Linked DNA regions of Solanum lycopersicum. The protein of the gene in region 1 binds, or shares a complex with, the protein of each later gene. Links are inferred from orthologs where the notes say so. Each region holds a gene or a part of one and is shown on either strand. Other genes may lie near its edges. The genes, in order: hop-interacting protein THI030; protein PLASTID TRANSCRIPTIONALLY ACTIVE 14; thioredoxin-like fold domain-containing protein MRL7, chloroplastic; protein PLASTID TRANSCRIPTIONALLY ACTIVE 7.

Region 1 (6,032 bases):
TATTGAAGAAGGAAGCAGATTACTTTGGGGACATTGTGATTGTCCCCTTTATCGATAGATACGAGCTAGTGGTTCTTAAAACTATTGCCATCTGCAAGTATGGGGTGAGTTCTGCACTTCGCTCCATCTTCCTCTACTTCTCTAGACTGCTCAGTTGTGTCCTAATTTCTATCGACATGGCCCACAATATCTGTTGCAGGTTCAGAATGTGACAGCTGCATATATCATGAAATGTGACGATGATACTTTCATTAGGATAGATGCAGTCCTTAGAGAAATTCAACGTGTCCCTCCTAGACGATCTCTTTACATGGGCAATCTTAATCTCTTGCATAGACCACTTCGAACAGGAAAGTGGGCAGTAACTTTTGAGGTACAGAGATTTATATGATAATAGAGTTATTCAAAATCATGGCTACTGTTTGTTGATTTCTTATAGACACTAAAGCTAATTTGAAAATATTGACTTGTGCAACAGGAGTGGCCAGAAGATGTATACCCCCCTTATGCTAATGGACCAGGATATATAATTACAAGTGATATTGCCAAACATATCACTTCTCAATATCGGAACCAAAGCTTGCGGGTTTGTAACAGTTTATTTCTTTCGTTTTCTTCTTAATCATAAACCTGTTCAAAGTGTAGACTCTGAAATACGCATTCCCCCATCAAATTGACAGATCTTCAAAATGGAGGATGTGAGCATGGGTATGTGGGTTGAGAGTTACAACAGTTCAACTCCTGTACAGTACTCTCACAACTGGAAGTTCTGTCAATATGGGTGTATGGAAGACTATTTCACGGCTCATTATCAGTCTCCACGACAGATGTTCTGTCTGTGGAACAATTTACTCAAGGGTAAGGCCCATTGCTGCAACTTCTAGAGTGATATGACCATTTTTCGCTGCTTGATGGACGCACAATTTGAATTGCATCATCTTCTTCCTGCCTTGAGATCTTACGCGAAGAAATGAAGGTGTGTGTTGTTGTATCTGTTCAGATGGCTGTTTTAGCTTAACATATGATTTAACATGGAACATTGGCCATCGCGATGGATTTGTACATCCGGATTTATATACTGTGTACTAGTCATTGTATAGGATTCATGCCTCTCCGCCTTGTACCATGAAGAAACATACAGCGATTTGATATTGAGCTGAGCCTCCCCACTATCATAATTTTGGGTTGGGGCCTTCACAGTTATGTTTGTCCTTTAACGCTATATATGAAGCTTTTCTTCTGGCAATGTCAACATTACTTGCTCTTGCTCCTTCAAATTTTACATTTGATACTATTTCATTAACCCAGTACTAGTATTTTAATTTGAAATGATATACTATGAGTTCATCTTCATATTGATTGACTTTAATTAGAATGCTATAAATTATGATGATTAAATTTCACAAACATTTGTGTAACAACATATACTATATTTTCATCAGGTGGATAAATAAAATGAATGTGAATTAGTTGAATCTTTAGATGAAACTAAACAAGAAGATAGTAGAAAGCAAACTAAAATAATATGCTTAGATTGAAAGTGCATCAAAATCATATGCATATTTTAAAATTGTGTTTATTTAATTAAAATATCAATTCTCTTATTCATTCATAAACAAAGCAAAAGAGTCTAGAGTTTATTTATTTATACAAACCATGTGAAAAATTATTCATTCCAAAATATCTCATTTTGAAATATCTTTTTGGTACACAAAGAAAGAAGGGACGCGGAATGAGTAAATAATATGCTTAAATTGAAAGTGCATCAAACGATACATCCTTAATATTAATTTTTATTTATAAAATTCTCTTATTCATACATAATCAAAGTAAAAGAATTACGACTTCTGTATAAAAGTCACGTACAGCCCAAAAGATCTCATTAACTCTTTGAAGAATTAGCTATAAGATTCCTACACTTATTTTATTCCTAAGAAATAATATAGAAAAGAAAAACTATATCTGGAACCTCCGCAATAAATTGTACAAATAGTGGTTTGTTTTGAAGAGATAAGTATCAAAATCATTTCTAAATTTGGGGTAAAATATTAATTTCATTTCCGAACTATTGACAGTCTTAAAAACGTTCCTCTACTTGATCAATTGAAGTTAAATACACCATCAATCTTGCAAGATTAGTGAAATACCCCTTTAAGTTCTCATCAAGTGTAGGGTGTTTTAAACACTTCTTTCAATTTAAAGGTGTATTTCACTAATCTTGCAAGATCGGGGGTGTATTGAGCTTCAATTAGACAAGAAAATGAGTGTTCTTAAGACAGTCAATAGTACAGATATAAAACTAATAATTCACGTCAAGTTTAGAGATTGGTTTTAATGGTTCTCTCATTTTTCAATAATTTAAACCCGCGGAAATTAAAGCGAAAATTGGTGACTAGGCCGGTCTGGAAAGCCGGTCCAAATTTGTAGGACGGTTCAGGGTCACATTATCCTAACTAAAGCCCCTCCTAAAACCCAAGCAAAGGACAAAGGATAAGAGGAGTTATTTATAGCAATTTCGAGTTGCCAATTTCAGCAATGGCTTCTGTATTGTCAACTTCCTTGTATCAAGGTAACTGTGTTTTACTTGTTGCACCTTTGATTTTTGTAAAAATAATTCTTCTTCGCTTTGTAAAATTGGTTTTTTTTCTGTTATTTGCAGATAGAGGACTGAGAATTGTAGCCTCTACTGATGGATTTGTGCCAACTATTTGCTGCCCCTATCGGAAGGTGTTTTTAGATTATTATGAACTCCAACAAATCTTATTATGTTTGTTAATCACCACTGGAAGTAGAATCTTATACTCTGTGTTGTTAGATAATAAGTAAAAAGGAGCACTTTTACAAAATTGTTCGTCTCTAAGAGTTCAAATTGTTGATTTTAGGTTTATATGTGACTTTTTGTATCTTCGAGAGGAATCAATGGTTTGGGTGAGCTATAAGAGTCTAGAAGAGATTAAAATGGTTTATATAATCAATTCTATTCAAGAGAGGGATATTTTTGGGAGTTTGATATATGCTTGAGGATATGGTTAACGTATTCTAGAGTGTTAGAGCTGACGATCAGGGAAAGCTGTTTGAAGGAAATGTTTTACTTCAATGGCAAAGAGAGTTTGGTTAGATTTTAGGAGTTATTTGTAGTTTCATGGTAGTAAATTGTTTTCTGATTTTGATATGCATCAAATTTCCTTTATACAATTAATCTGTGTGCTCATCTTATAGCTGACTCTCTTTCTTATCCCTCCACATGTACACCAAGTTTACCTGCCTATGTTTACTTCTTCATTTGCTGAACTGTGTATACGTATGCATCTGCATTGAACACCAGCACATGTTGCTCTCTGTGACGGTGAAATTCATATTGTAATCGGGGAAGGAAGAAGGTTTAAATTTCTGGCAGAAATTATTCATGAATTTGCATCTTATGTTTAAGCATCTCTTGTTTAACATTATGAAGTAAAGTCTGGCAATATGTTCAACATGCATGCTCAAAGGAAGGTGCTCTATATTGTAGCAAGGTTTCTCATCATTTTTAAAAGTTTTCATTAATAGGAGTATGCATTGTGCTGGGAACCACCCAGACCTTGTTTACAGGTACTACTCCTGTTTCAATATGGAAGCTCAAATTTGTCTCCAGTAGTCCATTTCAAAAGGCTCCTTTAGCTCCTTGTATAAAGTGTGAGAACAAGGAAAAGAATCAGGGCTCTTTTGAGCAGGTGTCTGTCGAGCGTTTTCCTTATCACAGTTATATGGACTCCACTTCTGGGCAACTTGAACCAGCATCTGGAGCTCGCGCTAGTATTCCTGGGAAGGAGTACTGGCCAGAAGGCACAGCTAGTCGAGTTCAGGCCGCCAGGGCTCCTGAACCAGATGGTATTTCAACTGGAACTCCATCTTATGGAAAAGCTCCTGGAAGTAGAAGAAAGAAGTACAAGGCATCTGCTTCCTCTTCCCAGCCTTCAGAAATCAATGTAATTTCTGATGATCCTCTGGAGACTCCAGATAGTGTACCAGAAGAGCCAAAGGATCTTTCCTCAGAGTATGTCATTTATCAGCCTGAACAAGATGAAGAAGAGCTGACAGGCTATGAGCTAGATAAAAGACATGGACGGCCCCACCCATTTATTGATCCAAAGGTAAAGAAGGAAATAGAGAAGCCGCTTACTAGTGAAGAATTATGGTGGAATTGGAGAAAGCCTGAAAAGGAGCAATGGTCTAGGTGGCAGAGGCGGCGCCCTGATGTTGAAACGGTCAGTACTGAAAATATATACTGCTAAGTAGAATAAATTGTTTATGTGTGTAATCAGTGTAATTTAATTGTGCTAATCAAGATTGGATGTCAATGCTGCTCATGCTAGTTGCTTGCTCGATGCCACATTGTAAAATAGATAAATGCAAATCTAAAGTGGATAAAATGATATCTTCAGTAGAGACGCGGTGAATATTAATAATACATTTCTAACCACTTTAAACCTCCCTTGGTTCTCGAGCAGATTCAAACTTATATCATCATAACATTCTGACTTAGAGATTATTATTATTTTCCCTGGAACAGGTCTTTCTTAAAGCTATGGCAGAGACAGGACAAGTAAAGCTCTATGGTGAGCATCCTACATTGACAGAGACTGCGCTCTATAGAGCAAGGAGACATTTATATAAGGAGGAAAGGTAGAATCAGCAACTTTTTTAATAATGTTGCATCACATGTTCTATTCTTCAAGTTTTAGTCTCTTCCTTTTTCCCTTGCACTGAAATGTTAAAAGATGGACCTCACTCGTTTGGTATTAAACTTATTCATAAGCCCTTCGTCTGTCATGAATGCATGTCATAAACTATAGGCTACAGGGAACCTTGCAAAGAAAGGATAGGCAAACTGAGAGGAAGTATAAAATAAGCAAATTCCATTTCCTTAATGTCTTATTATGTGCTTGTACACTGTTGTATTAGTTCATTCTTGGGAAGCTTATTATGGTACTTATTACAAAGAGTCAAGCAACAAATATTGTGTCTTTTCTTTTTTTCATATTCGTAATGTATATTATAAATAGCATTAACATGAAAAAATTGTCAAACTTCAGTTAGATTGATGATCAACTCCATGTCCTCTCTCTTACCTTTTGCTTTATCTACTGCTTTCAAAAGCTATTGGTTCTGCAAGCTCTCTGGAGCTGGTTTTTGATGAAAAGTTAAGTCTTGACTTCTATTTTGTTTATGTTTATCTTTTACCTGTATTATCTTTATATCCGTGGTGTGGGGGCACTTTGCCTGCATCATAACTATGCTGGTCTACTATCAGCCTACATGCACATGTGGCCTAGGTAATCTTGTCCACTAAGGTTAGAATGAAGGGGATTACACCAAGTGTGTGGTTAGGATTTGTACTTGGGATCTTCAGGTTGTTACTCCCATGCCTTAACTATTAGGTCATTGCCTTGGAGACCCGTTCTGATTTTATTTTCTGAAACTTGTCCCTTGTATTGTTCCCTAATTGACAGATCTTTGAGTTGCTAAATGACTTGGCAATCTACTTTCCCCGTTCAAGATGAACCAGAATACACTTTCTATTGGAACTAAGAACTAATAAGTGGGCAATGCAGGCTACAGGCTGAAAAAGAAAAAATGGAAAAGATTGGTCCTATTGCATACTACTCAGAGTGGGTCAAAGCTTGGAAAAGAGATACTTCTCGAGATGCCATTCAAAAGCATTTTGAAGAGACTGGTGAAGATGAGAACACTCAACTCATCGAAATGTTCTCCCATCAAACAGATCGTGAATACCGGATAATGATGGGAACTGATATGCGTATTCCTCGTGACCCGTTGGCCATGAGAATGCGGGAGGATCAAATAAAACAAAGTATCTCCCTTCCCTCTGGCTGAACTATACTTCATAACTTTTCCTGCTTTTTCTTGTGACTTGTGAGTATCTGTGTACGCAGCTGGTTTAGAAGTGAAGGTGATTGGAAGTTGGGGGACAATGATTTATTATCGGGTAGTTATAGGGATCTTTAGCTTGATTATTTCAGGAAATTGCC
Region 2 (5,891 bases), about 5.6 Mb from region 1:
CTCCCGATTTCACTATTGAAATTTTGGACAGAAATACAATAAAGAAGCTCACCAGCATAAGGTACCAACATATTTGCTTCTTGAACCAGTGAACCAATTCTTGTTTGCATGCTGATGCATCGAGATTGTGCTATACTCATTGCCCAAATAAATCTCTCAGGATCCTGAGCAAGACGCTTAATTTTGAGAGGTACTGCAGAATGCTAAACAAATAAAGAAAGTCAAAGGCCAATGTTAGTGAGCAGGAATCTGGGGGAAAGAGATTTAACAAGATTGTCTGTACCCAGTTTTTCTCCCAAAACTCAAGTGCTCGATTTTGCTGTTCTCTCATGGTAGAAGCAAGCTTCTCGTCTTGCAACTCCAAAAGATCCTCCTACACCACAGAAAGCATTAAGAAGAGCATCAGGAACACAAAACAATTATTTATTTACTCTAGCACTGAAATTCTAGAAATTAATCCACCATGAATATGCCAAATGCAGCCATTCCATTTTTCAGTTTGCAACTAATCTTTCTAATCAAAACCAGCCCAGCTGACTAATGAAAATGCAAAGCACAGAAATGAAGAAGCTTCAACCACATATTAATTTTCAGATTGAAAACCAAAATGGTAACTCCAAAATAGACTTAAATACACAGAAGAGAGCTTCAACAGTCATGGAAAAAAACAAGATTCAGTCGAAGAAACTTTTGTTATAAATTAGAACCCACTAATAGCAAAGGTCACATAACAGTGTGAATATCACAAAAGCTTTTCTAATTCACATTTCGAGTTACTCAAACTTGAACCTCAGCAGAACACCATAACAAAGTGCAGAATAATTTTGTGAATGCATAGCATTTTCTATAGAATCTTCCACAAAATATTACATTAATTGAATGCACTGAAATTTGGATGATACTCATATCCAGACCTCGGTAGCTAGAAGAAAGCTAGTGCATTCATCAGCACTAGGCAAGAAGTCTCCGTATAGCTGCCAAAAGTTGTCCTTGCAATCAAAAGCATATAAAAGAAGGCACGCCAACCTCAAGTCCGAATCTGTCTGCCATAAGAAGGTAATCAATATTAAAAAGTCACAAGAAATCTTAGAAAACCAAAAAGAAAATGAAAAAATTTAGAGCATAAAAACAAATCCTCTCATGTGTACCATTAGGGAAAAGGTAAGACGTCTAATTTTTATTTTTATCCAATCAAAGAAAATGTGGATAAATATTCTCCCATGTGTTCCATTAAATAATATTTAGTAGGAAAATTAAAATATTTAAAAGGAAAATGCATCCTTTTACCTCGGGATTGGTTGAATTGATAATGTCGAATACTGGATGTCCTACAGGTATAATATCTGGAAAAAACATCCAAGGAAGCTTTTTGCTTATGGTTAACATAAGTTCTAAAGGAATTTCCATTATTACCTGCATTACAAACAAAACCTCATGATTCACTGAATTTTAGTGATAACGAAAAGGTGTGAAGATAATCAGTGCGAAAAGAGCAATCAAACAGCCAAGCTAATGCCAAATGAATTAGACAGTCAAAACTATGTAGGACATGATAAAATACACCACAGCAGGAGAAGAATTAGTAGTGCCTAGCCACTGCAAATATAACTTATCAAGGTTAAAAAGCAAATGAGGGAAATCAACTAAAGATACTTATCTCAGAGAGAAGGAAGGTAGTTTAAAGGTATTACAATTCTCCCATGTCCTTTTTTCCTACCCCCACCAATTTCATGGTGGAATTGATGGGATGAAGTCCAGCTTTTGGTATAGTAAAACATTGATGGAGCAGTAAATTTGACACTGCTTCCGATGGTAATTGATATAGTTAAACATTTCATCAGGAGGAGGAAAACATTGTACATACAAACATGTTGTAAGGTAGTGCTCACCCTAGCTCGACGGAGAGGTTCCACGTCTTTGGAAGCAAACACTCCATACCCATCTGGTCCCTCCCTGAATTCAATCCCGTAGGCTCGAAAACTTCTAACATATCCTATTTTGTAGAAATCAGGATCTGCCAGTTCCAACTGTTCATATGAAAATGTTATACCACCATCATCAACAATTAGAACAGGAGAAAATAAGGATAATTTGAAATAATCAAATAGGAAAATATATGTTCATCAGCTTCTCAAAGGATGTAAGACCGAGAAAGTAGAGGGATTCCAACCATTAGTTTGACTATGTAACAATAGAAATGGGATATCTATGCATGAGAACGTGAGAACGAACATGAGCATCTAAGTGAAAATCTTAAGGTAATTGGGGAGTAGCTCAAAATCATCATAACCCTTTGGATGCCCCTAAACACCAGATGTTAGGCATTCTATATATCTGAAACCAATGCAGACTCACACGTGTGAGAACGGACTTACTAATTGGTTAGAAATTCCGACATATTAAAGAAAAATTTATGCAGTGAAGGAGTAGTAGAGAATGCTTTAGGTATATGATTCCCCTATACCTGATGTAGAACATTTTGTATTTCTAACACAGTAATCACCAAAAATTTATATGGGACCTGACCTAGAACCAAATAATTTGTGAAGAAAATCTGAATGAGGAACAAAACCAATTCATAAGAACAATTCCATCGATCTTCAAAGTGTAACTCCTATCTTTTCCAAACATCAACTGCCTGGCTGTCACTTCCTTCAATTTATTGAGAGACTAGTGCTTATTGTTGTCCATTGTTTGTTTGGCATTCTATTAAAGTAAAAGAAACCATGACTGAAGAGGAAAAGGTATGCAGTGCCAAAACTCTAACTACAAAAAAGAGTACATAAAAGTGTTGCATATTGCACTTATACAGTGAGCTTACCAAAAGAAAACAGCACTTATCACACAGAAAGTAACAAGATGTGATTAAACTAAACTTGAACTTCAAGAACATGAAACAGAAGGGGCAAGTAGAAAATACCTGAGAAGCGGGAGTATCTTGGGGTTGAGAAGGGGGTGTAAAAAGAGGAAATGCAGAAGGAGACGGAGAAGAATCATAGGCCTCCAAAGTGGAAGAAGTAACAGCACCATTAGCACTTGAAGAAACTCTCAAAGGTCTGTTTCTCTTGTTACTATTACATACCAAAATAGGTTGTTTCTGCAATGATGCAACACATCCATGCTGCAGACCTCTCCATAGCTGGTTCAATTATTAAAAAATCAAACACCCATAAAATCAAAAAGCAAAAAGATTCATTCTTGAATGATTTGGTTTTGTGGGGGCGAAGGCCTAACCTGATGGTGAAGCTCTGGCTGGTGGAAGAAGTTCGTCGGTTGCTGAATTAGAATGGTGGAAGAAACCATTCTTGAGAGTGAGCTAAAAATTTAGTGGAATTTCAGTAAAGAAGATTCATACATCGATGGAATTTGGGTTCTTGAAACGTTATCCACTCTACTGTCAGTGAGAGAGTGCCCAGGGGTTTTTCCTGGGTTTAAATTTTTTGATTTTTTTTCCCTATTTTATTCCACAATTCTGCTACTTAATTTATTAATTTATTTTTATATATATTCTTTTATCTTTATGGAAACGGTGTGATAAAGAAATTTAGCAAAATAAATATTTAAAAATGTGTCTGACTTTGTTTTCACTGTGTAAAAATTATCAATGTTGGCGGTAAGAGGGATCAATGACGTCGAAATAATTATAATAAAATCATAATTTTAAATCAAACATTACTTTATATTATATCATTTTTATTATTAGGCTTGAATTTACAAATAAAACTTTACTTAAATCTAGTTAAGTATTGTTCGAATCAAGTAATTATAAATCATCTGAAAAAATCAAAGGATTGATGCAACTAATTTGGGACCAAAACTTAGTTGATCGACAAATATATGAATGTTGGACAACATGCAGAGGACCATTATCTGAATTTTGACCATTTGCACCTGTCATATGATACTATCATATACAAAATTATAACCATATGACATGAGATTAGCAACTAGAAAGCCACGTAAGGTACCAGGAAAAACATTTGGATGTTTTGTTATACATAGAAAAGACCTTCAACCTGTCAACTAATTTAATCGAAAGGCCAACAACAGCACCATGTACTGGATACAATCTTAGTCAACATTACAATAAAGTAACTCTCATCTCCAGCTATGCATATGACTGAGTTAGGATGTTCATGTCCCAAGACTGATTAATAATGTGTGATAGCATTGTTGGCAGCACTTCCTGAACCCCAAAGAGAAACAAGATATCACAAACTTCAAGTGATTGACACTATGGAGATCTCGTCTTGAGATGCTTATTGCTCTCTTCTTACTGAGCATGATTAGGTCGTCGTATGCACCTTGACTATTCCGCTAGGTACCTGCATCCTTTCAGTACTGTTGGTATCGGATAACTCTACCACCAGGGTTTAGGCAGAAGGAAGAGATCACCCAAATGTGTTGCCTCTATTTAAGATTTGAACCTTAGTCTCCCATGGAGTTTACTCCAACTTCATCAACTAGGCCACATCCCCCAAAGACAATATCTGTACAAAAGGAAGAGAAAAAAAGTCAAAAGGAATTAGAGGTCCTATAACAACAGATGCACCAGTGCTTTCAGAACTAAATTGACTCATAAATCACGTAGCTTCAGACAAACAAGTAGCCCTCCTACCACATTTTACGCAAAATCTACCACAAGCAAAAGGAAATTCAAGTAAGCAACAAATACAAGTGCATTAACAACATTTCAAAGTTCTTAAAACTACAACAGAATTAACATAAGCTAAGTGATGTCCATTGAGTCGCAGCTCCATGATCAAGAAACTGATAAAATATCGATCTTGTCCATGCAAAATAGAAAAAAGAAAAAGGTCAGAAACCAGCTTTAACACACATCAAAGAGGTACCAGTGACAACTTCGACATAGATAGGTCCCATGTGTCTAGATGACAAAAACAACCACTGACGTCTCAATTCAGTGTGAAATGAAGGAGCTAAAGACACAAGGAACTTAAGCCTGCATCAGAAATGCACATCTCTCCAAACATTGAATTACATCGAGTGAAGCTAGTTATCCAAAAAAAAAATTGTACAACTAATTCAACTTAAAACCAGAGAATGTCCAGTCCATCTTTTGCTTAATGTGCAAACTTTTAAGAACACAAATATGCACAGAAACTAAGAGAAGGCTATATAAAAAACACAAGTCTTATCAAATTCCAAGCTTTGTGTACAACGAGCAAGGATTCATAATAAGCATACTCTTCTACTGGTTCCTATACATATTTTCAAACCACCTATGCATACTTCTGTATTAACCCCCATCTCTAAGTGTTGCCCCTTATCCACAAGATTCAAAATCTTGTTCCATTATCTTGATCTTCGGATTAGATAAGTTACTACTACTCAAACATTTAGAGAAAATATATGAAGACTTTTGCAGCATATTTCTGCTATCTTGTCTTGCTGCTTAAAACAATTTAGCATCACCTACACCACCAGGTCTCAGCCACCAACCATGCAATGGTGGTCAGAGAGACAGGTTCTTCTGGAACTAACTTGTTTACAACCTCACAAGCACTTATAAGTGCATCTAATTAACAACAGAACTAAGAAATACACAAATACAGTGAGTGGACAGGATACTGAAGGTACGTAACACATTTGAAGCTTAATGGTAAATCAAACAGACACGTACGGTCCAAAAGTAACAGATTAAGCCTTATAGCCAGTTAGGTGCAAATACACATTCTAATAAAGCATTTTATTAAGATTAAGCTTCTGATGATAGAGAAATTGAAATTGCACAAAATAAAGGAGCAAATAAGTATAACACAACTATCCACACCACAATAGGCACAGAAGTATTAACAAAGGTATGTAGAGTATTATGCAAGAACTGTATGACTATCAGTAAAAACTACTGAGAATGGGCATTGAAGCAA
Region 3 (6,019 bases), about 4.0 Mb from region 1:
TGTTTTGTAGTTTCTTCTTGTTGATCCCTTTCCACTATTGTTAGAAGAGTTCACATTCAAGGAAATCGATTCCATAGGGGTTTGATTAGCAGGTTTAAACTCCCTTTGTTTCTCCTCTTGAATCATCTAGGAAAAGGCTTGTGCCATTGTTGGAAGAGGATTCATCATAAGAATGTTGCCTCTTATCACAGTATACACCTCATTCATCCCCATTAAGATTTGTATCAAGCGTCTGTCTTGTTCTGCTTTGTATAATCCATCTTTGGCTCCACAACTACAAGCACAAGAGCACTGATTTTTTACATTCAAAGTGCTCAATTCTTCCCAAAGCTTTTTCATCCTGTTGTAGTAGACTGTTATATCCAAATTTCCCTGTGTGAGATCATTAATCTCTTTTTGAATTTGATACAGCTTTGCTCCATTTGTTTGGTCATATCTATCTTCAAGTTCCTTCCAAAGTTCCACTGAATCACTAACATACTCTACACTATCTGCAATTTCCTTAGTAAGAGAGTTTAAAATCCAGGAAGTCACCATGTCATCGCATCTCTGCCATTGATGCAACTGATTTGAGCTTGCAGTTGGTTTAACACAACTACCATCAATGAATCCAAACTTGTTCTTTACTGACAAAGCTCGCATAACTCCCCTTCTCCAGGATCTATATCCTGTTCCATCGAATTGAGTTGGTACCAACACCATACCAGGGCTATCCGAAGGGTGTATGTAGAGAGTGTTGTGTGCATCATCATTAACAGAGGTTCCTTGTGCTGAAGGAGCACTTTCAGGTCTTGTCATGATGAAGGATCGACTGGATCACAGGAAAAACAATTAAACAAGAAGAATCAACAACAAATTCAAATCAAAAGTAGCAAGAACAGCCTTGCTCTGATACCATATTAAACTGATCAATAATGGTGATTTACACCAAAACAGAAAGGAACCATAATAATCGATTTAGGAAGAAGAAGAAGAAGAAGAAGGAGGAGGAGGAGGCATCGTATGTGTTGAATTGTAGAAGATGCAAAACTACTATCTTCATGTATTGATTCTCATTTATATACAAGAGAATTGTAATCACATATCCAACAAATACAAAAGATATGAAATACAAAATGTGTGACTAACTAACTTTCAAAAATCTAACTAACTTGATGTGACATCCAACTAACACTCTAACTAACATAACTAACAAACTAATCATAATTATATTGTTAATACAAACATAAAAGGGCAAAGCCGTGGTTTGACCACATATTCTATTCAAATTTCAAACATAAAGGATTTTTATCATCTTCGGAGAAGAAAAAATAATAGTACAAGAATTTAATAAACAAAGTGACGGTTCACCTTTGCTATCATAATTGAGTGAAAATAAAATAAAATTGAAAGATGAATTCCTTAGCACCAACCGAGCATCATTAGTTTCCTTGAAAATCCATTGTAAGGCATTTTGACGAATGAAAAGGCTGACTTGGTCCAAAAACAAAATTTCCAACAAGCAAGGCAAGTTCTAAGAAAATAATAGACAAGTCCGTAAGCTCGTCTGACTAGTCTAGAAAACGGGACATAGAAAACTTCCTTATGAATCACACTTTAATTTATGTCATTAACAAGCAATATTTGTGATAGAAGTTGAACTACAGGTAAAACAAAGATGGTACATATAGAGTTTCAAGATTTTCTGCCAATTATGGCGATAAAGCTATGCGGAGAGGGACTGATCAACGAGCTATGCAAAGGTTATCGGATGTTAATGGATGGTGAGAAAGGCGTGATCACAATTGATAGCTTAAAGAGGAACTCTAAGCTGATGGGATTGCAAGATTTTAGTGATGAAGAATTGAAGAACATGATTAGAGAAGGAGATATGAATGGTGATGGAGCTCTTGATAAGATTGAATTTTGTATTTTGATGTTTAGATTGAGTCCTGACTTGTTACTTGTGGCTCAACAATTGTTACATAAAGCTCATCAATAACAAAATAATACTGTCCACCTTAAGTGATACTGTACTACTATTCCTGATTCATCATATTCATATGTAATGTTTCACTTCATTTGTCAATGTTAAACTTTTCTTCTTATCAAGTTAGTTTGCATACTATAATTCAATTAAATTTCACAGAGACGTTATTTTCTACCAAATATAGGTATTGCGTTAATAGCTTTATCCAACAAAGGACAAATAAAAAAAATCACCTACGATATTTTTATCACCCCAGAATTTTCAACCCTCTCCATTAGCCTAGCGGCCAAACTTAAGAACATATTTGGACCAAAAGAGGTATCAGTGAACCAAACTTTAAATGGAGGGTATATCTAAACCTTTTCTAATAGTTTAGGGGTATATTTGACCCTTTTCCCTTTAAAATATAATTGTCAAAATACCAACTTAGCTATATAATAAAACTAATTACTCAACTTTCATTAAATATCCCAAAAATATTCTAGGCCAAAGACCAATAAAAGCTAGGCTAGAAATCACCCTAAACAATTTTTTCCCCTCTCAAGTAAAATAAAAAATAAACCTAAGTTTGGAGCAAAGGTAGGTGTTTTACGAGACAATATTGGGTTATGGTATTCATTTGGATAAAGTTTAGAAATATTTTCGCCTCATGTCATTAAAAATATTTAATATTTTTTATGAAGTTTCAACTTAAAATAAATATTGGCTGTTGTTTTTATTCATTTGCTCTGCCCTCCCATCCTTCAAAATAAAGTTGAAATATTTCTTATAGGATTAGAACAAGTAGGGACTGGACAAACGGAACTTGAGATTTAGCTTCTTCATTCTCAGGTAGTCCTTTGTTGTATTTTTAAGAAAGGTAACAAAGTACTTGCGAACGGATTATTTATTATTGCTATAAACTTTGATTCTATGATTCACTAACCTTTAGCTCTGCTGTTTGCCATTGTTGTAATCATCAAGTTATAAACATAATTAATGCACTGTTGGTTGCACTTGTACTGTATCGACAGTCTGGTAACTTATGCACACAACCTGTTTGATTATTTGCTCATTAGACTTTTATCCTCTATGCTTCAAAATAGGTAACCTTTTAACTGTAGCCAGAAGCAGACTTAGGATGTTAAGCCAGTCCATGTGGAGTACCACCATCTATACTACTATTTAGTGTCGGTGGGTGACAATGCTGACTTAGTTCAATACATTTTTGTAAAAGTGGGCTAGTAGTACTGTGCTCAACAATTCAACATCAATGTTATGGCTTCTACAGTTGACTTTGTTTAACTACATTTTGAATGTTATGCTAGTCTTTTTCTGTTTGTCTTTTAGTTATGTACATAAGAATATGGAGTGGATGTTTTCTATTTTGTGTTTTGTAGAAAGGAGTTTGATAAAATCTGTTCTTAATTTTGATTGGTGTTATCGACAGGTTTTTTATATTAGGAGTTATCCCTAATAGAGATTTTGATTTTCCAGGCGAAGTAGTTAAGCGAGGGAAGATGGTCATCCATTCTGCATTAAATCTTAACTTTTGTGCTATTTCATCACTCTCTGCACTCAAAGCAGGGCAACATTGTAGTTCTTGCTCTTTTTCTAACTTCCTATTGCCGCCTCCTTTGAAACGTTTGACTTGCTTTGCCACTTCAAAAAAGTCTGAAGAGGAACATGTGTCTGATCCTAAGAATAACTCTGGTTCAAGGTCTAGAAAAGCTATAAGGTCCCGGGAAAGTAAAGTAACTCATAACGAAGACAAAGATTCTGCCAAGATCTTCCCATCAACAATCCCTAAAAAGCCAAGGCGTGGTCGCAGGAGCGAAGCAGCTGCAGTTGAGGATTTTGTTCGTGATTCATTAGAAAAGACATTTGCCTCTATCCGAGAGCAGAACTCTGATATGATGAAAGATACCGAGAATATCCTCAAAGATAGGGTTGATGATGACACTGAGTCTGATGAAAGTAGTGATGATGAAGATGACAGCAGTAGGGATAAGAAAGAAAAGAAAATGATCATTGAGGAGGAGGATCCAAATTGGCCTCTGGATGCAGACGTTGGATGGGGAATTAGAGCATCAGAGTATTTTGACAAGCATCCAATAAAAAATGTTATAGGAGAAGATGGAGTTGAGATCGATTGGGAGGGGGAGATTGATGATTGCTGGGTGAAGGAAATCAATTGTCTTGAGTGGGAGAGCTTCGCTTTTCATCCCAGTCCCCTCATTGTACTTGTTTTTGAGAGATACAATCGGCAAGTGGATCTTGTTTTGTTTACAAATTGAAGTCCTAAAGGATATATTCTATAAGCAATATGCAAGTCTTTTATGTTCTCTGAGACAATTGCTAATTGCACAGGGCTAGTGACAACTGGAAAGCTCTTAAGGAGCTGGAGAAAGCAGCCAAGGTGTATTGGAGTGCCAAAGAGCGCTTGCCTCCTCGGGTTTGTGAAACATAATCACTTCTCCTTACATTGTGCATTAGTAAACCCTCTTATCTTACATTTCCCCTAATTACTTGGTGTAGACTGTGAAGATTGACATTAATATTGAGAGGGATCTAGCCTATGCGCTTAAAGTCAAAGAAAGTCCACAGATATTGTTCTTACGAGGAAACAGGATACTATACAGGGAAAAAGGTACTCTTTATATATCCCCTCACTAGTTTGATAAAGTAATTGTAATCTTTTCAGCTAAATTCATTGTTATGTTGAATGATTGTTTACTTTGCAACTCCGGATAAATTTGTGCAGAAATTCGTACAGCTGATGACTTGGTTCAAATGATAGCATATTTTTACTACAATGCGAAAAAACCTTCATGCATTGATGATGCAGCTTTATCTCAACAGTCTTAGTCAACGGAGGTACTGATGCTGACTTGTCTAGGCTTTCATTGAAGCTCATAGATTAATGTCACTAAAAATATTTGAACTTCTAGCACGTCGCAGATTAAGAAAGAGGCAGTGGAGCATGGATCTATCCCTGTATAACTGGAACCAATTGTGGTCGTTTTGTCACTGGAAAACAATTGACCAATTGAGGGCAGAACCTTAGAAGAATGACTGGTTGAAACGAGATCATGGTACTGCTCGCTTGATGCTTGCAGGTGCTGATGTAATTAGCAAGTGGAAGGTTGAAGAAAAAGGTTATATCCTATAATGTGCTTAAATTAGTGCCACATTTATTACTATATAGAAGAGGATAGTTGGAAAGAGAACACTCAGTTGCATGATCTTACTTTAGTTCTATTTGCTTGTTTACATATCATACTAGCCCTAGATGTCTATAAATTACTTTCTGTATTTAATTAGAAAAGTTCATGCATCTTCTGTTACTTGTATCTTGACCTTGCTGGCTATAACTAAATTAGAGTTATTGTTTTCGGGGGAGACGTATGTCACGCTAGGTACGGAACTTTTTTCCATTAATACTAACCTAGATAGATATGAATGGATAATGTATATACCTTGCTTTATTCCATCTTAAGATAAGAAATTAAAGTTAAGATCAGATAAACAAGACACTGTATGTCCATTGGATGGGTTAACTGTGTGTGCTTTTATCTGTTTTAGGTTATATTCAGACACTAAAGTGCTTTCCTTTGAAAAGTTTTGGATACCACATTATCAGGAATATGCCCTGATTAAACATATGTTAAATCACTCAACATCAAACCTAACTAGGACCATTTGTAGATAATACAGTTTAACAAAACCTGAACTCTGAATAGACTCAACTAACAAACTTTCACCTAATTGACCTCTTAAATATGCGGTGATCTTGTTTATCTACTTAATTCTTGGTGGGTGAAGTCTGACGATATTGTGGTGGGAGGTGACAGATATTTGATGATACTCTCTCAATTTTAATTTGTTTTGTTTTTTCTACTTTCTTTCATAGTCCATTTCAACATATGTTTAATTTCGATGGCATATTTAAGGCTACAAGGTTAAAAGTTATTTTCGTATATTCTTCACATGTGTAATTTAAGACCGCAAGATTTAAAAAGCTTCTTTACTTTCTTAAATTTTATCTTGTAGGATCTGCACAGCTTCCCT
Region 4 (6,054 bases), on another chromosome or scaffold:
AAATGTGACTAATACAAATTCAAAGTCAACTCACGTAATTAATGTACAATATTAATCACGAGTGATAATTATAGTAAATTATAGTTATGATGAGTAACTAAATACTTGATATACACTCCTAACACACATACAATATACATTTTAGATGATGGTTCCTCTTATATACATATATATTGGACTTTTATTTTTTAAACTCATCTACAAGTACGATTATAATTGTATACTTTTTTCTTTCTCAAAATAAGTGTTGTTTTGATTCTTTTTAGTTTTTGTGCTTATTAAAAAAATAGTATTTACCAAATTACCCTTATTTATTACTTTATCCGTTTCAAAAAGAATGGTTTCATTTTTTTAGTCTATTTTTAAAAAAAAATCTTGCTTTTTTTAGTTACATTTTAATTTCTATTTTTCACGTGACATGTTTAAGACCATAAAATTAAAGGACACTTTAATTTAGGATCACACGATTCAATTTTTTTTTTCTTAAACTCCGTGTCAAGTCAAACAAGTTTATCCTTTTTGAAACGAAGAGAGTAGTTTATTAAAAATCGAGCAAGATTAAAAGAGCAACTTTCACATATAGCAAATAAAAAATTCATATTTGTATGCTATAACAAAGTTTGCATAATTGTGTTCCATAGCAAACATATAAAATGTATAATTCGTTATACATATACCGTTGAAGCAAATTGTATAAAACGAAGTGTATAAAACAAGAAAGAGAAAGACACTTGGGCAGAGAACTGTATAAAAACGAAATGTATAAAACGAATTGCATTATTATAAGTGTATAGAACGATCATAAACAATTTGAATTTGTATAAAACGAGAAAGAGAGAAAGACAAAAGAGACTTGACAAGGAATATACAATTGAATCGAATTGTATAAAAAGAGAAAGAGAGAAATTATATACAATTTGAAAATTGTATAAAACGAGAAAGAGAGAAAGGCAAAAGAAACTGGGCAGGGGAGTATTTTTATTGTATAATTATAAGTGTATAGGACGAAAATACACGTACTTGCATGTGTATATACAATTTTCTCACACTTTATACAAACAGAAATGCAATTTATACATTTCGCTTCTGTTTGTATAAGTGAGAAAGGCGAGGGTGGCGAGTGAAATTTGGGAGAGTGGCGAGCGAGATCTGGAAGAGGGGAGAGAGGGAAACAAAAATATATGTATTTATACAATTTTCTCTGCTTTATACAATTAGAAACAATTTTTATACATTTGTGTTTGTATAAAAAGTGAGGAAGCGAGCGAGAGATTGTTAGGAGAGTGGCGAGCGAGATACTTAGGAGAGAGGCGCCTGACAATTTTTTGCAAACGTTTGCTATGGAGTACAATTAAATTAAACCATAGCTACTCCGTTTATTTTAGGTTATTAGTTTGCTATTATATATAATTTTCTCATATTAAAAAACATATTTTTAATATAAGGTGTATTTTTTTAATACTCACTTCGTTCCATTTTATGTGGCATTTTTGGCCCGGCACGGAGTTTAAGAAATTAATGAAAACTTTGAATTGTTTATCAAATCGAAGTAGACTCACTTTTCTCTTTCCTCAAACGTTTTAGAGTAGTACTATTTAAAATTAAGTAAAACCAACAAGAATAAAAAAGAATTTGTATCTGTAAATACTTACCATGTAAAAAAATATGATATTTTTTTATGGACCGACCAAAAAAGAAAATAATGTCGCATTTTGGGACAGAGGGAGTAATTAATAACTGAGACGGAGGAAGTATTGCAAAAAGAGGGCTTGTAGGATGTTATATTTGCGAAACTGCTCTAAAATTACGAAAATCAAGAAACAAATATGAATAACAAAGGCATAATGGAACATTTTTAAAAACATCAGGGTCTAACTGCCAATAAATTAACTTGCAAAGTTTGAAAAAAGAAACAGTAGGATATCATTTGCGTTATCCCCTTTTATCAGAGGGAGAAGAACACAATCGAAGGGCGAAAAACAATGGCAGCATCAACCCTGACTTTCAGTAGCTTTTCAACACTACAAACTTTCCCCGTAAGCTCCTCGTTCTATTTTTATCCTGTTTTATATTCGCCGGGATCTTCGCCGGTTTCCAGTTTGACTCTCCGTTCTTAATTTGTGAATCCGGAGAATGATAATTTGTCTTCAATGCAGAGAATTGCAGCACTTGAAAATAAAAAACGCGTGAACTTGTGTATTCGGGCGCAGGTGACAGTTCTTCGTAGCCGTCGCTATCTATTTTCAGCTGTGATTTTTTTTTTTGCACAAGTGTTTGTAACTTTTGTTTTTAGTTTGGTGTACAGAGTGCGTCGAATTCTAAAAATGAAGGCCGTGGAGAAAGGCGAATATGGAGGCGAAGAAAATTGGTAAGTTAAGGAACTCTGATTCGTGCTTTTTCCTGCTCGTTTCATTCTGTTTGTTTTAATGTTTATTTTTCGATGTGCACCATTGAATTTACCGGAATTAGATATAAGAGTAGGATGTTTCGTACGTATTGTGCTTGCCTTGTATGGGCTATAGTTGAAAGGATCTAAGCTATATGCACAATCGATTTTTGTTGTCAGTTTCACTGATTTTGGCAGGTTACTTACATCAAGTCAGGCTTACTATAGAATCATGGGCATAGACAATTGTTTATAGTTGGCTTTTAAGTGAGTAGATTTGCTTAAATATTCTTTACACCGTGGGTATATTTGGTGTAACTCAAGTGAAAACTATATTTGTGGTAGACATATTAGACTATGCTTGATATATTATTGTAGGCTGATAATACTTTTCTTCATCTTTGCTGTTGTTTTCGTTTCCAAGTTTGAACTTATATTTCTTTAAGTCATTTTGGATGCCTTGATTTGAACGATGAATTTCTTGGTTAATTAGTTTTTGAATTCTTAGAATTGTTACTTGAGATTGATTGTATCGTCTTTAGAAGAGGGATGATATCCACATTTGATCTGAATCAGACCCTTTTACCCATTTTATGTGCCATATCAAGCTAGCCATCTTTCCTTTTTGCTTGGATTTTATGTTTTTATTAACTACAAACCACTGTAGGCAAAGTGATAGATATTGAAACCTAACAGATCTCCCACATCAGGGGTTCAAGCTTTCTGTCAGTACATCACTTCTCTCTGGATGATAATGCAAAACCTAACCCACTAGAAATTGAAGGTAGGGGAAATGATGATTTCACTTATTGCATTTGTGTGTTGATCTTGTTTGGTGGACCCTGCAAGTAGATAATACCAAGTTTGGAGAGTGTACTGTTATCCTGACTAGTTGTATGTCCAAATGATTTAGGCTGAACACTAGATCCTGAGTATCTGTGGCTCGAGATGTCATAATTAAGGCTTCTGATTCAATAGGGGCTTTGTATGTATGCGGCTCAGTTCTGACTGGGTTCTTTTTAATAGTTGATCATGTCCATGCTCCGATATTCTGGTTTTGTGGTTGCTGCAAAGGCAAAATGTTTTACCATCTGTATATCATTTTTGAGCAGTAATCTGAATTTAAGTACATGTCATTCCTTGGTAGATGGTTCTTTCTCGTGTTTTTACCTGCTATTAGGTTTTCGTATGAGGCCCCTAAGTAAAGAGTGAAAGCTAGCATATTCCTCATAGTTTAAGATTTTATTTGTTATTTCTTGATCTGTGCATGTCATCCTTGCCTATAGGCATGCTAATCTTCTTTATGTCATTCCAGTTTTATTTGTTATTTCCTGGTTGTTCATAGAATAATGATATTTTTAAGGGGTCCTTTTGCTGATGGTATAGGAACAATTGATCTCAGTAAAAATCTTGCGTTGGTCCATAGGATAATATAGCGTATGGTCAACCATATACACAAAAAATTATCGCTTCATAAATAAAATGCAACATTTGGTTGGCAGTACTAAATGATACCTGAATTAAGTTATGCATGACTTTAATATTATTTATGCTTGATAGAATGTAAAATAATAGCACATGTAGTAGCAATGTAGAGATTAAACTATTTAAAGATAAATTGCCCTTTTAGACTAAGTAACTCATTTGTGACAATCTTTTCTTTACTAATAATCACTGCATAACAATTCTTTCATTATTGATCACATCATAAAGGATTCTTGCATTATAATCCTTACTAACCAATATGTGAACCAAACGTCCCCAAACTTTTTTACCCATATTTGTCAAGGTTGGGTTCTTGAGACAAACTTGTAGTTGTTTCAGCCTTTGCTAAAATGTTCTTTTTGTCCATCAAGCTTTATTGCACAACTTTAGGGTTTGTTATGTTTTCTTTTCCTCCACAAATTAGCCTTCATCTCTTGTTGTTTCTCACTTCATATAGTGAATCATCTCTTGTGGATCCACTAATATTTGGTGATCTTCTATGGTCTGACTAGGAATAGAGTGTATTTAACCTTGAAGGCATGCTTTGATGGTGAAAAGCTGACTTTATTGCCTAATCAAACATCTTTATAGTTCTTGAATAGAGGATTTGAGTTGATGAAAAAAGGGGATAGCTCAGAGAAAGTTATGGCAGAAATAGAAATAGATTTTTTCTTATGTTTGAAAACCTGAGTAACATATCTTATATCTTAGCTTTGTAGTAATAACACTGAGCTATTACTAATCCGTGAAACTAACTCCAAAAGTTAACAGCTAGCTTAGTGTCACGGACTTTTTGATTCGGACTAAGTTCCGTGCGGCACTAGACGGTTTACTCACGACTCTTGCACGTTCTTGCAAACTCTAGTAAGCCTAAAACTCAGATCGCTAAGAAAATAAGAAGTAAGACAGAACTTTGGAAGAAGGAACTTCTATTACTTGAAAATAATTGGATGCTTTACAAGTAAAGTAATCTACTATTTATACTACTCTAATGCTGCCTAAGAGTTAGTAAATAAACTATACAAGTTCCTAAGACTATGCCTACAAGACAAGCTTCCAAGTCTTCCAAAAAGGACTCCTAGATGCTCCTAGTCTGCCCCATGATCTCCACAAGCCTCTCAAAGACTTGTAACTTCTGTAACAGCCGCCCCACTAACTGTTGTAACAGCTGAAACTGCTGCCTCTTCAGCTGCTGCAGGCCTCCTTGGCTGCTGACCTGCGTGGTCAGCCTGCTCCCCTGCGCCTGCTGCGCCTGCTGGCTGCCTCGTTGGGTGGCGTTCGGCCTGAATGGATGGCGGGACGTCACAATCTCCCCCACCCCATGATGCGACGACCGCGACGCACTGCTGCAAGAACTCCTGAATTTTGCCTTTGAACTGCCACAAGTCTTCGTACTTCTCCCATGTGGCTTCCTCCGGAGTTTGTCCCTTCCAATGTACGAGAAACATGGCACTGGCCTGTTGTCCTCGTTTCCGCTTGGCTTGGTAATCTATGATAGCTTCAATCTCACGATCATGCGAGGCAGTAACGGTGATAGGGGCCCGTTGTGATTTGTTCCGGCTGGGATCGTCCTTGTCCTCATGATAAGGCTTAAGGACGCTGGCATGAAAGACCGGGTGGATTTTGAAGTGTGGAGGTAACTCCAATCTGTATGAAATCTTACCCACCTTGGCAACAATTTTGAACGGACCCTTATATTTCCGCACCAGGTTGTGATGCATGCCTCTAAGCGCCTTAAACTGCCTCGGATTAAACTTTACCAAAACCATATCACCTTCTTCATAGTTGGTGGGACGACGCTTGCGGTCGGCGAACTTCTTCATCCTCCTTGCCGCCTTGCTCAAATAAGATTTGGCAAGGTCGAGTTGCTCCTCCCAACCCTTGGCAAGGTTGTAAGCGCCCAAACTCTTCCCTTCGAACAATGTTGGCAATGAGTGCGGAGTTTGGGGTTGCTGGCCCGTTGCTAACTCGAACGGTGTGCGCCCTGTAGATTCACTCCTCTGCAAATTATAAGAAAATTGCGCCATGTCTAGGAGCTTAGCCCAATCCTTCTGATGTGCACTAACATAGTGCCTTAAATAGCATTCCAACAAGGCGTTGACACGTTCAGTTTGGCCATCAGTTTGGGGGTGGAAACTGGTGGAAAAGTGAAGTTTTGAACCAAGAATCTCAAAGAGTTCACT

The links.
Region 2: hop-interacting protein THI030 (region 1) and protein PLASTID TRANSCRIPTIONALLY ACTIVE 14 share a complex: the UniProt entries of both Arabidopsis thaliana proteins name them as parts of the transcriptionally active chromosome (TAC) complex. The link is inferred for Solanum lycopersicum from reciprocal best matches to the Arabidopsis thaliana genes PTAC12 and PTAC14.
Region 3: hop-interacting protein THI030 (region 1) and thioredoxin-like fold domain-containing protein MRL7, chloroplastic share a complex: the UniProt entries of both Arabidopsis thaliana proteins name them as parts of the transcriptionally active chromosome (TAC) complex. The link is inferred for Solanum lycopersicum from reciprocal best matches to the Arabidopsis thaliana genes PTAC12 and MRL7.
Region 4: hop-interacting protein THI030 (region 1) and protein PLASTID TRANSCRIPTIONALLY ACTIVE 7 share a complex: the UniProt entries of both Arabidopsis thaliana proteins name them as parts of the transcriptionally active chromosome (TAC) complex. The link is inferred for Solanum lycopersicum from reciprocal best matches to the Arabidopsis thaliana genes PTAC12 and PTAC7.

Annotation. Positions count from the first base shown.
Region 1 is NC_090801.1:56,329,809-56,335,840, reverse strand, and holds the start of hop-interacting protein THI030, read left to right. Parts: upstream 1-2,228; 5' UTR 2,229-2,535; coding exon 2,536-2,569; intron 2,570-2,659; coding exon 2,660-2,727; intron 2,728-3,578; coding exon 3,579-4,247; intron 4,248-4,552; coding exon 4,553-4,665; intron 4,666-5,594; coding exon 5,595-5,854; intron 5,855-6,032. Other genes in the region: hydroxyproline O-galactosyltransferase GALT2, read left to right, coding at 1-104, 200-373, 479-586, 681-884. UniProt on the Arabidopsis thaliana protein: Involved in plastid gene expression. Acidic transcriptional coactivator necessary for the transactivation of many PIFs target genes (class B genes), particularly during the regulation of hypocotyl growth.
Region 2 is NC_090801.1:61,880,957-61,886,847, forward strand, and holds the start of protein PLASTID TRANSCRIPTIONALLY ACTIVE 14, read right to left. Parts: upstream 3,529-5,891; 5' UTR 3,304-3,528; coding exon 3,235-3,303; intron 3,140-3,234; coding exon 2,921-3,139; intron 2,028-2,920; coding exon 1,890-2,027; intron 1,414-1,889; coding exon 1,288-1,413; intron 1,044-1,287; coding exon 915-1,043; intron 374-914; coding exon 284-373; intron 204-283; coding exon 53-203; intron 1-52. UniProt on the Arabidopsis thaliana protein: Essential for chloroplast development, especially for thylakoid formation. Involved in plastid gene expression, probably by maintaining plastid-encoded RNA polymerase (PEP) activity.
Region 3 is NC_090801.1:60,372,414-60,378,432, forward strand, and holds the start of thioredoxin-like fold domain-containing protein MRL7, chloroplastic, read left to right. Parts: upstream 1-2,590; 5' UTR 2,591-2,800; exon of another isoform or gene 2,801-2,894; coding exon of another isoform or gene 2,895-2,928; exon of another isoform or gene 2,929-3,445; 5' UTR 3,446-3,468; coding exon 3,469-4,214; intron 4,215-4,318; coding exon 4,319-4,403; intron 4,404-4,486; coding exon 4,487-4,598; intron 4,599-4,712; coding exon 4,713-4,816; 3' UTR 4,817-4,825; intron 4,826-4,899; exon of another isoform or gene 4,900-4,909; 3' UTR 4,910-6,019. UniProt on the Arabidopsis thaliana protein: Plays an essential role in early steps of chloroplast development. Involved in the regulation of plastid gene expression. May positively regulate plastid-encoded RNA polymerase (PEP) activity through binding to FSD3 and CITRX/TRXZ.
Region 4 is NC_090802.1:49,585,234-49,591,287, reverse strand, and holds the start of protein PLASTID TRANSCRIPTIONALLY ACTIVE 7, read left to right. Parts: upstream 1-1,882; 5' UTR 1,883-1,982; coding exon 1,983-2,036; intron 2,037-2,156; coding exon 2,157-2,210; intron 2,211-2,293; coding exon 2,294-2,368; intron 2,369-6,054. UniProt on the Arabidopsis thaliana protein: Essential for chloroplast development, especially for thylakoid formation. Involved in plastid gene expression, probably by maintaining plastid-encoded RNA polymerase (PEP) activity.